2 linked regions of the Ovis aries genome follow. The protein of the gene in region 1 interacts with the protein of each later gene in a pairwise test. Links are inferred from orthologs where the notes say so. Each region holds a gene or a part of one and is shown on either strand. Other genes may lie near its edges. The genes, in order: glutathione S-transferase A4 and C3H2orf50.

What was found.
Region 2: the proteins of glutathione S-transferase A4 (region 1) and C3H2orf50 interact in binary tests that used the Homo sapiens proteins (3 or more experiments, as listed by UniProt). The two-hybrid records come from large-scale screens. The link is inferred for Ovis aries from reciprocal best matches to the Homo sapiens genes GSTA4 and CIMIP5.

The regions. Positions count from the first base shown.
Region 1 is NC_056073.1:24,882,356-24,889,507, reverse strand, and holds part of glutathione S-transferase A4, read left to right. Parts: intron 1-2,456; coding exon 2,457-2,508; intron 2,509-4,062; coding exon 4,063-4,195; intron 4,196-5,043; coding exon 5,044-5,185; intron 5,186-7,152. UniProt on the Homo sapiens protein: Conjugation of reduced glutathione to a wide number of exogenous and endogenous hydrophobic electrophiles. This isozyme has a high catalytic efficiency with 4-hydroxyalkenals such as 4-hydroxynonenal (4-HNE).
Region 2 is NC_056056.1:20,144,510-20,151,761, forward strand, and holds the start of C3H2orf50 (uncharacterized protein C2orf50 homolog), read left to right. Parts: upstream 1-2,547; 5' UTR 2,548-2,794; coding exon 2,795-3,036; intron 3,037-5,084; coding exon 5,085-5,124; intron 5,125-6,417; exon of another isoform or gene 6,418-6,986; intron 6,987-7,252.

The sequences.
Region 1 (7,152 bases):
AATGTAGTTCTCTGCACTATACATTAGATCCTTATTGTTTATCTATTTTGTATATCTGCTAATACTACTAATATTTTGTATATCTGCTAATCCCAAATTCCTAATGTGTCCCTCCTGCACCCTCTTCCTCCACGCTGGTAACTATAAGCTTGTGTACTGTGTCTGAAAGTCTGTTTCTATTTTATAAACAGGTTCATTTGTGGCGTTTTTTTTCAAGATTTCACATATAAATGATGTCATATGATATTTTTCTTTGACTTACTTCATTTAGTATGTTAATCTCTAGGTCCATCCATGTTGCTTGGAAAGGCTTGTTTTTCTTTAATGTACATTCCTGGTCTCTCCGAGCTACTGGAGGTGAATCTTTGAGGGATGGGCCTGGGGTCTGGCACATACACACGGTTTCTCATGTGCTTTATACATGATCAGGGTCATAAAAGTGTGAGAGCAGTGGTGCAGTAGAAACACCTTGGCCTCACAGCTGACCGGCTGGGCGTTTGGACAAACGCCCAGAACGTTCTTACCCTGAGGCTACTGCTTCCTGGGCCCCAGATGGAGTGCCTCTAGGGGCACCAAGGCCCTCTCCTCACACAGGAGGGCTGGGAATAGGAGAAGCCATGCCTTCACCCCGTCATCTTGATGCCCATCTGGTCGACTAGGTGAAGTAGAGGAAAGAATGGCCAGGTCTGTGCTACGCCTCTGTCCTTCCTGGGATGACATGGGGTGAGGGGCGGCGCAGGGCGCAGGCTCGACTGGGAACCACCCATGGACTTGGGGCCTCGGTGGGCATGAGAAGGACATCAGTATATTCGAGCGAGCTGTATATGTCACAAGAAAAGGGACTTTCCAGTGTTTCTTTTCCTCCCAAACTTTTAGTTTGGAAACTTTAAAACCTACAGAAAAGCTGTAATAGTAAAATGGATACCTTTCAACTAAACTCACCAGGTGCTAACATTTTGCTTTTTGCCTCCTTCCTTCTTATGTCTCTGCTTTTTTAATTCTTATTCATTTGAAAGTAAGTTGCAGACATCAGCGTGTGTCTTCCTGTTAAGAAAAAAATAAAATTGTCCCCATAACTGTAATAACATTGTCACAACTAAGGAAATAACATCAGTTTTACAACATCTTATATATAATCCAAATTCAGAAGTTGCCTCTTGTGCCGCAAATGTCTATATAACTGTTAAATGTATCTCTTTAGTAGTTATAACTACCACTCCTCCATCCAAGATCTAATCAAGATTTAGACACTTGGTGGTTATGTCTCTAGTCGCTTTTCATCTAGAACAGAATCTACATTTTGTTCTTTTCTTTCATACTTGTCACTTAACAGAGAAGGAATGTGTGAAGGAGGGATTGAATCTCTTGCATGAATTTCTGCCAAGAGAAATAAAGACTCAGTAATGTGACTTGGAGGCCAAATGGCCTGGAGAATTTTCAGAGGCGGTTTACCTGGCTACAGTCGAATCCCTTGTAAATAAAGATTTGCCCTTGAGAGCAGGGCTCATGCTTTCAGTCGGGAAGTGGATGGATATCTAGGAAGTGGGAGCCAGACAAGTGATGAAGACCACGGAGCGGGAGCCGCAAAGGCAGAAAGTCTGTCCCCCCAACTGGCTTCCAAACCTGCCCATCCTGGAGGAGCTCGAAAACAACAGTTCTGTAGGTTGGAAAAGAGTGCAGACCATTTGTATACTGCAGAGTGTCGAACGTTCTGGATACGCCCCTGTTTCACCTTGCAGCTCCGTCCAGGTTGAATTGGTTGGGATGCTGTTTCTGCAGTGTCGCTGTGTCTTCACTGTCACAGCAGGGACTGTGAGATGCCTCAAGGTGGCCCCAGTGGGGAACTGAGCTTGACCACTTGGGTAGGTGGGTGCACACATCTGCAGAGACATTTTTTCTTGGTCATAATAAGTAACCTGCGGGATGATGCTTTGTGTGAATATTCTATGCCCAATGACCCAACGATTTCAGCATCTTGATCCTTATCAGAGTCAGTTATTACATTATAGGGTGAAAATTGGTGATTTTCTAATTTTATTGTTAATTAGGAACAATTCTGCATTAATTAGTGCTAATTCTGGAAAAGAGAGCCTTCTTTCTTCCTTTTTTTGAATCATCATTTATGGACACAAGGATTTTTTTGGTTGATGATATTCTCATCTGTGCCTGGTATCACTTGAATTGTCCCAAATGTGGCTAGGGAAGCCCTCTTAGGTAGGGTCCCACGTGTCTTTGCCTTTGACATATATCTGTTAGTCTTTGAGTACTTCCTCACTTTTTGACATAACAGAATCAACTTTTACTCCTGGGAGCCCAAGGATATTTAGAAACCAAGATATGGGTACTGAGTATGTTCTCCTGTCTGTTTTTTGGGCAGTTTAACTTGGTATTTTCAGTCCTAAAACCGTAATGACATTTCCCTTCTTTTTTTTGGGGGGGTGTCTTTTTAAATTTAGTTCGATGAAGAATTTTTAGAAACAAAAGAACAGTTGCAGAAGTTGCAGGATGGTGAGTATAAAAATGTATTACTGTCGATAATGCTGATTTTTTTAAGAACTGATATTTAAGTGGAAGGACAAAGATCCAGCTGACACTAAACATCCGGAACAGTATCCTAAAACCAGACAAGCAAGAGGGAACATTGGCCAAAATTGCTAGAAAGTCACTTGATTTTCAGTAGTTCTATAAAAGCCAATCAAAGGGGGAGTAGTTCTTCCCTCTGTGCACTGGGCAGCCCTTCTCCATCTCTCTCTCCTCCCCGACCTTCCTCCACCTTTACCCCTCTTTCTTCCACTCCCTCATCCCTTCCCTCCTCAATTTCCACCTCCTACCTATTACCTGAGGCATCTGCTTGAAGTGTGCAGATAAAAGTCCCCGTTTACACTGGGCTGCTTTCTCAAGTAAGTACCAAACAGATGAGACAGCAGTGAAAGGCCTGCCTTTAACTCCTGGTCACACCCTGACCCCTGTAAGCAGCCTCCTTCCTTGCCATCAGCAGGGTCCTGAGGCCCAACTCAAGGATCCCTGGAGAGGGACCAGCTCGGCAGGGCTGTGATGTCTCCATCATGAGTGACACTGCGCATGTGCTGAGTATTCATCTGCCCTCAACCCGCCTCCAGCCCTCCAGGACTGGGCTGTGTGCTATACTTGTGACTGTTCCTGGGGTTTGCTGTAGGTAAAGTGTTTGAGACAGTCTTCTTGAAGAAAGTAAGGGGTGACTTTTTGACCAGTGACTGCATATTTGGCAGCAGCTGGGCTGTGGCAGTGGATGCCTATACGTTAGTATCAGTCGGTGTCTTGGGCTTCGTCATCAGACTGACAAAGTGACATAGTCATAGACATTCTACACGGATGGGTTGTTTTGTTCTGCTCTGGCCATTGCAGGAGCTGCCAGCCACATGTGACTCCTGAGCATTTGTGCCCATGGGGATGAAGGAAGTGACTTGTAGATATTTCATAAGTTTTAGGGCTTTGCTGGTGACTCAGTGGTTAAGACTCTGCACTTCCACTGCAGTGGGGCTTGGAATCAATCCCCACTCAGGGAACTAAGATTCTGCATGCCCCATGGCACAGGCACAGTCAAAAAAATATTTAAAATTTTTAATTGATGTAGAGTTCCCTGGTTGCTCAGTGGTTAGGATTCTAGGCTTTCACTGTTGTGGGCCCAGGTTCAATCCCTAATCAGAGGACTAAGATCCTGCAAGCTGCATGCCTCAGCCACACACAAAAAATAAATAAAAAGTTCAATTTAAATTTAGGCTTAACTATACGCATGTCACTACTGGCTACTGTATTGGCCAGCACAGCTCTGTAAAGAGATGTCTTCACTGTGTTACCCCTCACCCTTTACATTGAGACTAAGTGTTTTTCTTGGGGTGAAAATTGAAAGCTTTATGTCCATGCTAGTTTTAAGTCTTGTTTTATGGCTAAATCAGCACCCCTGAATGAAGTTGGGGGAGCTTTACACTATTTCTTAAGGCTGTGGCCCCATTTAGGAGAGCATTTTTCGAGGGATGGGGGAAAGGGGAGAGAGCACTTCTAACTCCGGGCTTCTGTTCCCAGGTAACCACCTGCTGTTTCAGCAAGTGCCAATGGTTGAAATTGACGGGATGAAGTTGGTGCAGACCCGGAGCATCCTCCACTACATCGCAGACAAGCACCATCTCTTCGGCAAAGACCTCAAGGAGAGAACCCTGTACTGTGGCTCCTCCGGAGTGTTCTCAATTGTACCTCTACCAATGCTTAGCTCATTAGCCATCCTCCACAGCCCCCTGGTCCACCGCATGGCCTATATCGTTAGTGCGAACAGGGAACAAACCTCCAGAAAGGTCATCAAGACCACTTGGAAAGTCAGTACAGAGAGTCTGAGTAAAATGAGAGCAAAGGATTGAGTTCGGATATTAGAAATTGTGTCTGGGGTGTGGTGCAGGTTTCAACATCCTTAAATGCTTTGATATTATGGTTTTTTTTTACCATTCTTGCAAATCTAGTATCACTGAGTGTTAGGAATCGGAAGCTGTTGTGACATTCAAGGCCCAGAATACTGCGCACTGGCTTATAATTTGAACTCAGAGCCTGGTCTTTGTACCTCCTGGATCATGCCCCTGGGCAAAGTGTTAGGCTCCAGTGTCCTGATGGGGTTGCTAATAGTATATTCCTCATAATGCTGTAGGATTCAGTGAAATGTTAGATGTAGGGTATTTAGCACCACTCCTCGTTCACACCGAGTATTCTGTAAATGGTACCCACTATTTTTACAAATGTGAAGTTGTATACATCCTGAGCATGGGTGCTGGAGTGAGGGGCCAGGAGAAAGGACATCCATAACTCTGGTACTTCAAGATTTGTGATGGGTTTCTCTGAAGAAGTTTTCTGATTTATAACTAGAGTTGACTTTGCATCTTTGCTGTTAAGGGACAGGTGGAGATGAATGTTTCTTGATACTTAAGTAGCCCGAGCTGTAAGAGCAAAGCACTCTGGATGTTTAGCTGTGGGAGCCAATGAGGGGCCACTGAGAAAATGCTTTTTGTGTGTGTTTTGAAGGATTGACATGTATGTGGAGGGGACCCTGGATCTTCTGGAACTGCTTATCATGCATCCTTTCCTCAAACCGGACGATCAGCAAAAGGAAGTGGCTAATATGGCCCAGAAGGCTATAATTAGATACTTTCCTGTGTTTGAAAAGGTAGGTGACAGCGAAGCCTGTGAAGACAGCATCACTAGACCACAAAACACCCCTTTTCTGCTCAGGCAGAGTAAAAGCTGAGCCCTGCTAGACCAGCCTCCTGGGTTCCAAAGAGCTGACAGTTGCATCAGCACAAAGCCAGCATGTCCTGGAGCCTCCCCAACTCTTCCAGAGTCTTCCATGCTCTCTGGCAAAGATGCAGGCTCACCCCTGTGTGCACTGTCATTGCTTGCCTTTGCCAGGGGCCACCCTGTACAGGACACGCAGAAACCGGCTCCTTCATCCCTTCTTTCGTTCCATCCTACTTGGTAGTTGCATATGAAGAGAAGAACCGTGGCTGTCTTATTTCTCTTCCCTTTTGTTCTCTTTTGTTATCTTCCTTGTCTTATTTCTGTTTTTCTGAGCTTCACCTCCTCCTCTCTTTTCCTCAATGGAGAAGGATTATTTTAAATGCCTCAGTTAAAAAACAAGAGCACGTGAAAGCCGGGAATTGGCAGATTTCCTCTGACCATTGACGTGGAAGTAGATAAGAAGGAAGAGAGGTACTTTCTGAGCGTTTCTGTCCTTGGTTTCATGGTCTCTTGCCTGCAGGAGCTTTGTGAATGTAAATATGATGATGCAGAAATGGGCTGTGGTGAGGGAGGAACAGGTGTCTCGGATAAAGGCACTGCCAGCTTCTGTCTCCCTGTGAGTCAGACTACGTCAGAACTCTGCCAAACATACGAGCTAAAAGTTATTACTTTCTTATTTATTTAGTTATTTATGGCTGCACTGGGTATTTGTGGCTGCACACCAGCTTTCTTGGGTTGCGGTGAATGAGGGCTACTCTCTAGGTGTAGCATGGGGGCTTATCATCATGGTGGTTTCTCACGTTGCCGAGCAGGAGCTCTAGGGTGCGTGGGCTTCAGCAGTTGAGACACGAGGGCTCAGTTGCTCCGCAGCATGTGGAAACTTCCCAAACCAGGGATCAAACTCGTGTCCCCTTCATTAACAGGCAGATTCTTACCCACTGGTCCTGTTACCTTCTTTTTACACGTAATGAAATAGAAACACAGAGAGACTGGCATGCCTAAGGTGGGAGCCGGGACTGGAACTCTGGCCTCTGACTACAGTTCCAGACTCTCTGTCTTTCTCCAGTCTGGCTCCAGTCACTCTGTTTGATTTGGAATCATCTTAGAGTCCCTCTCTCTCTCTCATACGCACACAGGCATGCACATACACATATCTGCAAAGGGGCTCTCCCCTAGTCTCCCCCTGTTCCTTGCTTCTTTCTAATTGCCATCTATTCCTATGAATCTCTGCACCTAACCCTCAGTATGGGAGTCAGGATAAATTCTCATTCTTTTAATTTTCTTGGTCTTGAAAGTGAAGTGAAAATGTTAGTCGCTCCATCGTGTTTGACTCTTAGCAACTCCACAGACTAGCCTCTGTCCATGGGATTCTCCAGACAAGAATACCGGAGTAGGCAGCCATTCCCTTCTCCAGGGGATCTTAGAAGATGTTAAAGGAAGCCTGCTTTTTTTATTTACTATTGTGTCTAGTTTACGACTGTGAGTCCTGACAGTCGTAGAAACACAGAACTGGGAAATGAGATTAGACTCCTTGGACAGGACCAGTGGCTTACTTCTTACATCCTTCCCACCATCTCCTGAATGCGTGAGGACTAATTCTTTTCTGTAGACACGTTAACAGCTGTATCCTTTTAAAGCACCAGATGCTAAATCCAGAATTAATACTTCCTTCAGCTTTTCAGGGTCTCATTCTGTTATAAAGTAGAGACCTATGGATGCTGTCATTTCTACACCGTTTTTTTGCTGATTCTCTCTTAGGGAACTTCCTCTTAATTGATGTTATTTGTAAAAAGATAAAAGAAAAAGGCCATGGTTTCAGCTTTTCTCAGATGCTGCACTGATTCCATAGCTATATTAGTTTCCCCATGTCGACTATTGTAACCGATATAAAACATT
Region 2 (7,252 bases), on another chromosome or scaffold:
CCTATTGTGTATGCTTGTCACATATATACTCATCTCTCTACTATCAGTCTGAAATAGTTTCTCAGTCAGTTCAGTCACTCAGTCATGTCTGACTTTTGCGACCCCATGGACTGCAGCACGTCAGACTTCCCTGTCCATCACCAACTCCCGGAGTTTACTCAAACTCATGTCCATTGAGACGGTGATGCCATCTAACCATCTCATCCTCTGTCGTCCCCTTCTCCCACCTTCAATCTTTGCCAGCATCAGGGTCTTTTCAAATGAGTCAGCTCTTCGCAACAGGTGGCCAAAGGATTGGAGTTTCAGCTTCAGCAACAGTCCTTTCAATGAATATTCAGGATTGATTTCCTTTAGGACTGATTTAGAAAATAATTTCTAAATACATTTTAATTTTTAAAAACCAGTCCACATGGAAACATTCAGCGTCTACATACATTGGATGCTCGGCCATCCAGGATTGCCGTGGCTGGCCTTTTTGGTCCTGTCCCTTATCTCCGGAGCAGGTGACCAGGAAACCTGGGCCAGGGTATCTGAGCAGACTGCAAGGCTGTTCCAGGCTACTCTGTGCCACCGGCTGCAGTCGGCCTTGTGCGTGGTGTTGCAGCAGCAGGCACTGGGCTCTGTGAACACACTGATGAGACCCCTTCCAGAGGCTGAAGGAGATCAAAGCTGCCACTTCTTGGGCACTGCAGGGACCTGTCCTGGCTCTGCTTGCGGCCACAAACACCTAAGAGAGAGCGACAGCCAGGGAACCCTGCTTCTGAGCCCTGAGGCCTCCCAGTTACCAATGGCCAGCAGTTCTCATCCTGGCTCTGGAGAGACAGAGGCCCAGTCCCGCAGCCCCAGGTTTTAGACAGACGTCCCAGCAGGTCACACTCACTCAGCCCCTTCCTTAGACAAGTGCCGGCAGCTCTCAGCAGTCTGGCAGCTCTCACCCCGTCTCCTCCCTCCAGCCCTCAGCCAAGGCCAGCGGGGGCTTCAGCACCTCCTCTCACCTGGACCACGGCCACGTCCCCTCACCTGCGTGTCCTTCCCTGGTCTTCTTTGCCCTGTGGCTCAAGGGCAGGAATGCTCCCTTGTGCACAAGCTCCGTGCACAAGCTCCCCACATAGCTCCAAACAGCCCAGGGCTTGGACCCCTCCCTGCAACCCAATGACCGAGCTCAAATACCTGTTCTCTCGTGTGTCCAAGCTTTTGCACTCAATCAGTCAGTAGCTCAGTCGTGTGTCCAAGTCTTTACAACCCCAGGGACCGTAGCCCACCGGGCTCCTCCATTCATGGGATTCTCCAGGCAAGAATACTGGAGTGGGTTGCCATTTCCTCCTCCAGGGCTCTTCCCCAGCCAAGGATAGAAGCCGAGTCTCTTGCATCTCCTGCACTGGCAGGCAGGTTCTTCACCCACTGAGCCACCTGGCAAGCTTTCGCATTTGCCCCAGTTTTTCGACCTGGAAATGCTAGGCACCCATAAGACCCAAGTCCTTGGGGCCTCCTTTATGAAAACTGAATCCAAAAGATGCTCCCAGGGTGGGCAAACAGCTGGTGTGTTGGCTACACCTGTGCGAACACCCTGGGGTGCCTTGTGCACCGTCCACATAGCAGGACTTGGCGTGTGTGTGCACGTGTGTTCACGTGTGTATGTGTGTAGCCATCTGCTAGTGTGTCTGCTTCCCAGCCTTGCAGAGGCAGGAGCACCATGCCCAACGGGTCATCCCACAGATCCATGACTTTGCCAACACACACGGGGGGTAAGAAGGAGTCAAGAGCCCGGGAAGTGCAACGGGCCGGGGACACAAACCAAAGGGGAAGATATCTGAGGATGCCAGCTGAGCAGAGCAGGAGGGGCCTGGGGCCACAAGGGAACTGGGCTGTGTGGGTCAGAGCAGAAACAGAGCCAAAGGTTCAGAACAGGAATCCCTACCCTGGGGGCTCTCACTGTTTCCTTCTGAGGATCTGAACTCAAGGCCCGGCTACAATTGGCACCTGAGTGGCCCTGGGCAGCTACTTATCGTGCTGGTGAGGGCCTCCATTTCCTCACCTGTACAGTGGGCTTGGAGATGCCTGCCTTGCATGACTAGGGGAGTCAAGCAAGATCAAGGGCAGCACTTTGCAAACCCTCCAGTTCTCTGCAGAAGAGCAGGTGTTAACTGTGCAGCATCACTGATCTTCCCTCGCCTGGCCTGTACGCAAAGCGCCACACTCTCATTCACAGAGAACTGCCCATCCACCTTCTCCTGTGAGCCCCACGGCACCCACCTGGGGCAGATTCCCACCCATGTCTCTTCTTACTGCTTCTCTCCCCCAGGCTCTACTGAGGTCTCCAGCCAGGGGGGCAGAGGGGCAGAGCTGAGGGCAGCCGAGCTGGCTTGGCTCAGACCAGGAACTCTCTCCACCCAAGCCTGGGGCTCAGATGTCTCTCTCTCTCTCTCTCTCTCTCTCTCTCTCTCTCTCTCTCTCTCTCTCTCACACACACACACACACACACACACATAGACACACAAGGCCCTCCCCTCCTTAGCACACTAGGGAGCTGCCCGTTCCCAGGGCAGCAGTCAACACAGACAGAAGCTCAGACACAACTGGGCTCCAATGCTCTCTGCAGCCTGGAGGGCCTGGTCCCCATCGGCCACTCTGAGCTCAGGATCTGGGGGGCCAAAGAGAACCTCTGCACAGCTCTCCTGGTGTAAATGCGGGAAAGCTCTCTGAGCTCAGGCAAGAGTCTCTCTCTCTCTCTCTCTCTCACACACACACACACACACACACACACACACACACACAGTCTTACACACTTGCACCCATGGGAAGCCGCCCCACTCCTGGGCTCCAGAGAACTACATCAGCTGAGTACCAACTGCGTTCAACCAGGCCTCCAGCCTCAGTCCCGTCCACTGCCCCAGGAGGCTCTGTGGTGGGCAGGGGTCCCGCGGGTGGCCCCCAGGCCCTGAAGGCCAAGCGGTCAGCCCCAGGGGCTGACGGTGTGCAGCAGGACCAGCTGTGGAGGGAGCTGCTGGAGGCCGAGAGGAGGAGCCAGCAGCGCTGGTGAGTGTCCTGCCCTGTCCTCTCCCCAGGGCCCCCCAGCCTAGCTCAGGGTCTAGGAAGCTTCCGGAGACAGCGAGACCTGGGAGTGAGAGGGAGTAAGCCAGGTGAAGGACACTGATAGAAAAGTGCTGGGCCAAGGAGCAAGAGCCTGGACCAGGGGAGGTGAGGGAGCCCAGCAGGGGCCCACAGAGTAGGGGCAGGTAGGCGGGAGGTGAGACCCCACCATGTGCATTCTGGAAGCCCGGCTTCCCTTTGCAATAATCCTTCCAGCTGGAGCTCAAAGGATGAACTGCGAGGGCGGGAGCGTGGGGAGGTCAGGAAGCCTGGGGAGGCGTGGGGTGGCAGCAGCCTGGGGAGGGGCGCCGGCCCTCTGACCCAGCAAAGGGCGCCCCTTCAGGCATCATTCAGTCCAGAAGTCCCTAAAAGAGCCGCCGCCGTGCCAGGCTGCCACAGGGGACAAGACGGGCCCAGGCCCATCTCCGCGGCGTCCTCACTCTCAGGACGAGGAGCCAGAAAGCAACAGAGACACAGGCAAGAGCAACATGCAGCTGGTGTCAGGAGGGGACCGACAGAGCAGACTGGCGTCTTGCTTTTCTGGGGGCTCACGGAGGCCTGTCTGGGGAGGTGGCATTCAGGTTGGGACCCGAGTATGAGAAGGGCCATGGAAGAGTTTGGTGTATTTTAAAAAGCCACAATATAAAGACCATGCGTGTGGCTGGGGTGGTCAGGAAGGGGACAAGAGCCTCAGTGGGGGGAGTAGGAGGAGGCAGCTGGGCAGTTTCTCAAGTCCCAATAACTTTTTTTCAAATGTCATGGGACACCCTGGAGGGTCTTAAGCAAGAGGCTGACTGGAGCTAGTTTACAGTTTATTTATTTATTTAGTTTACAGTTTAAATGACCAGTCTGGCTGCTGTTCCTGGTGAGGTGGAGGGGACAGGGCAAAGTGACATTTAAAGTGACAGCAGAGCTGCCATGGTGGCCTGAGCTGGGGACCGGTAGGAGAATTCAAGGGAGGTTTTAGTGGTAGAATTAAAATTGCTGATGGATGGACTAGAGTCGGAGAGATGGAGTGTGTGTGTGTGTTGGGGTACAGGGGACATTTACAAAGACAGGGTCCCCCTGGTGCCATGACTCTAGGTCATGGTGTTTGTGGTCTGTGCGGATTGGGGCAGAGAAACTTTTTTTTTCTTCTAAGTCTTGGAGAATTATTTGACTTTTTAAAAATAGATTAAAAATAAAACTGCCAGCACAGATAACACCATTCTTCACAGTATCACTTCCCCAGCACCACCCACCTTCCTCTGTCTCAAGCCCTGGAAGGTTACCAAGCTTTGTTAAGATGAAAGCCGGCTTTTCTTCTCAAAAGACTGGGAGACCAACCCCCCACCCCCACACACCCGACCCCGCCCCCACACACCCGACCCCGCCCCCGCACACCCGACCCCGCCCCCCGCACACCCGACCCCGCCCCCCGCCCATGCAACCCGACCCCCCCCCCCGCCCACGCACACCCGACCCCCTCCCCGCACACCCGACCCCACTCCCACACACACACCCCACCCCGCCCCCACACACCCGACCCCGCCCCCACACACCCGACCCCACCCCGGCAGACGCTTGGGGTGAAATGGCTTCCGGTTTCCTGATCCACCTGCCACACCCCCTGCAATCAGACTTTCCTCTCTATTGAAATGTTGATCTTGGAGTTTGTTCCACTTAATGATTGTAGTTCCTCCATGATGTAATGCACGCATTTGTGGCAGCAACTTATTCCCTTGAAATGGAGTGAAAGTGTTAGTCATGTAGTCGTGTCCGACTCTGAGACCCCATGGACTGTAGCCCATCAGGCTCCTCCGTCCATGGGATTCTCCAGGCAAGAATCCTGGAGTGGGTTGCCATTTCCTCCTCCGGGGGATCTTCCTGACTCAGGGATTGGACCCAGGCCTCCTGCATTGCAGGCAGATTCTTTACCATCTGAGTGACCCTGTTAAAATGAAGGTAAAAACGCCATAGGGAGGATCACACTGTCATCATGCTTTCCTTTCCAGGGCTCAGAACTGGAGTTTCCTGAAAGACTATGACCCCATGGTAAGACAGACCATGTTCCCATCTGAAATGCTTGCACTTGGAGTGTTTATTCATTCATCTGTTTATTGAGGACCTGCTGGGTGCTAGATGCTGCAATGGACAGAGATGAATAAAATGGAACCTTGTTTCCAGAAACTCTGGATTTGATGGGAAATAAAATACTTCTGTAGAGCATTTAGAAATGAATTTTCCCCAGTGTTCCTTGACTGCAGTGAGATGAACTCGCTGGAACTGGTAAGTACCAGCTGCTGACACGTTTCTCCCGGTCCGACGGTATCAGCAAGATAGAGTGACGTGAGGTTGGCCCCACATAGAGGATCAGTCTGAGTGAAAACACTTGTAAACAAATTCCCTGCATCTAATATCACCAGCCCCAATCCATCCTCCACGTGGCTACCAGAGTAACTTTTCTAAACTGCAAAACTCTCTCTCTCTCTCTCTCTCTCCCCCTGGTTTAAAATCCTTCCATAAATCTGCATTTTCCGGGACGGTTTGCAACACTTCCCATGATCCAGCCCTGCCTCCTCCCCCTCCTTGCTCACTCCACACTGACCGATGCACTCTCTTTTATGCTCTTCCCACTTAGCCTAATGGCCTCCTAATCATCCTTCAAGGCCCCACCCAAGAGGCCTCTTCCTGGCAAGCATGGCCAGATCACCATATTCTTCACTCCCCAGGACATCTCACCCATTCCTTGGGCACGTGCAATGAACAATCTTACCTGGCCATGGGCTTCCTCGGAGAAAGGACAAAGATGACTTCATTGCTGAACACATACCTCCAGCTAGTCTTTACCCCCCAGCACCCAGTAACTATTTCGCGCTCAGTTCACGTTAGAGCAATGAGCAAATGAAGAATGATCTGGCTGTTAAAAGCATGGTCAGAGAACCAAACTGCAAACTGAACAATGTAACCAGCCAACCAAGGTGGTGGCCGCACAAGCACGGCCCCTGTGGGTTTTAGGGATGGTGTGACATCTGTAAGACTAGCCTTGTGGGGCTGCTGCTGGTCCTTAGATGGAAGATTTAGCTCACAGGATCTGAATTCCAACCCTGAGCCCCTGATCCGGGCTCCCAGGCTGCAGGGTCTCTCCCTGCCCAGGGCTGTGTATCAGCAACCTGACCCCTGAGACCCACGCCCCGCCCAGAAAGCCCACACCGTGGGGCCACCTCCGCACAGACTTTCCCAGGTGAGAGCCAGGATCCTGTTTCTTAAAAACTGGTCCTGTCACTTCGATTTGACACAGAGCAGCACAAAGTTAACCATAAACAAGGACAGGGAAGGCTTATCAGATTAGTCATAATCCAGACATTTACTCAACACATCCTCAGTTTACAGAAGGCACCAGGTAGCATGTTCAGGGCAGCACCCCTCCTTAAGACCCCCCTTCAAACTGGAAACAAGCCCAAATGCCCCCGTGGCAGAATAAAGTGACCTGTGGAGTATTCACACAAACACACCACAGAATACCGTGTAACATGGAGAACGAAGGAGCCGCAGCCACACACAGGAACACGGGGGATTCTCACATCACATAGTGAGAGAAAGGGGCTGGAGGGCAGAGACAGGATCCCTTTGCGGTAAAGTTCAGAACCAGGCAAGCCAGCTCCTGGTACTGGCTGGTTGAGACCAGGTCCCCTTGGAGGTGGAGACAGTGACTGAGGGTTAAATGTAGGCTTCTGAGGCAGATGGGGTTCTGTTTCCTGGTCGGGGGGCAGGGGGGAGTTGGGGGGCTGGATTGATCTGGGACTTGAGTACTTGTGTGTGTGTTGCCCAGGGGAAGGGGGGTCGTTTTCATCCGGTAACTGCTTCCAAGGTGATAAGGGGCGTCGTCCCTAAATTGGTGACACAACATAATTCTCCTAAAAGAAAAGGGGGGAATGAGAGGGTAACAGGCAGGAGGGCTAGGGGTCTCCAAAAGGAGGAAACAGACTACAAGCATCAGATTTTTGGCTTCCCTGATAGCTCAGTTGGTAAAGAATCCACTGGCAATGCAGTGGTTCGATTCTTTGGTGGGGAAGATCTGCTAGAGAACGGATAGGCTACCCACTTCGGTATTCTTGGGCTTCCCTGTGGCTCAGGTGGTAAAGAATCCTCCTGCAATGCAGGAGACCTGGGTTCTATCCCT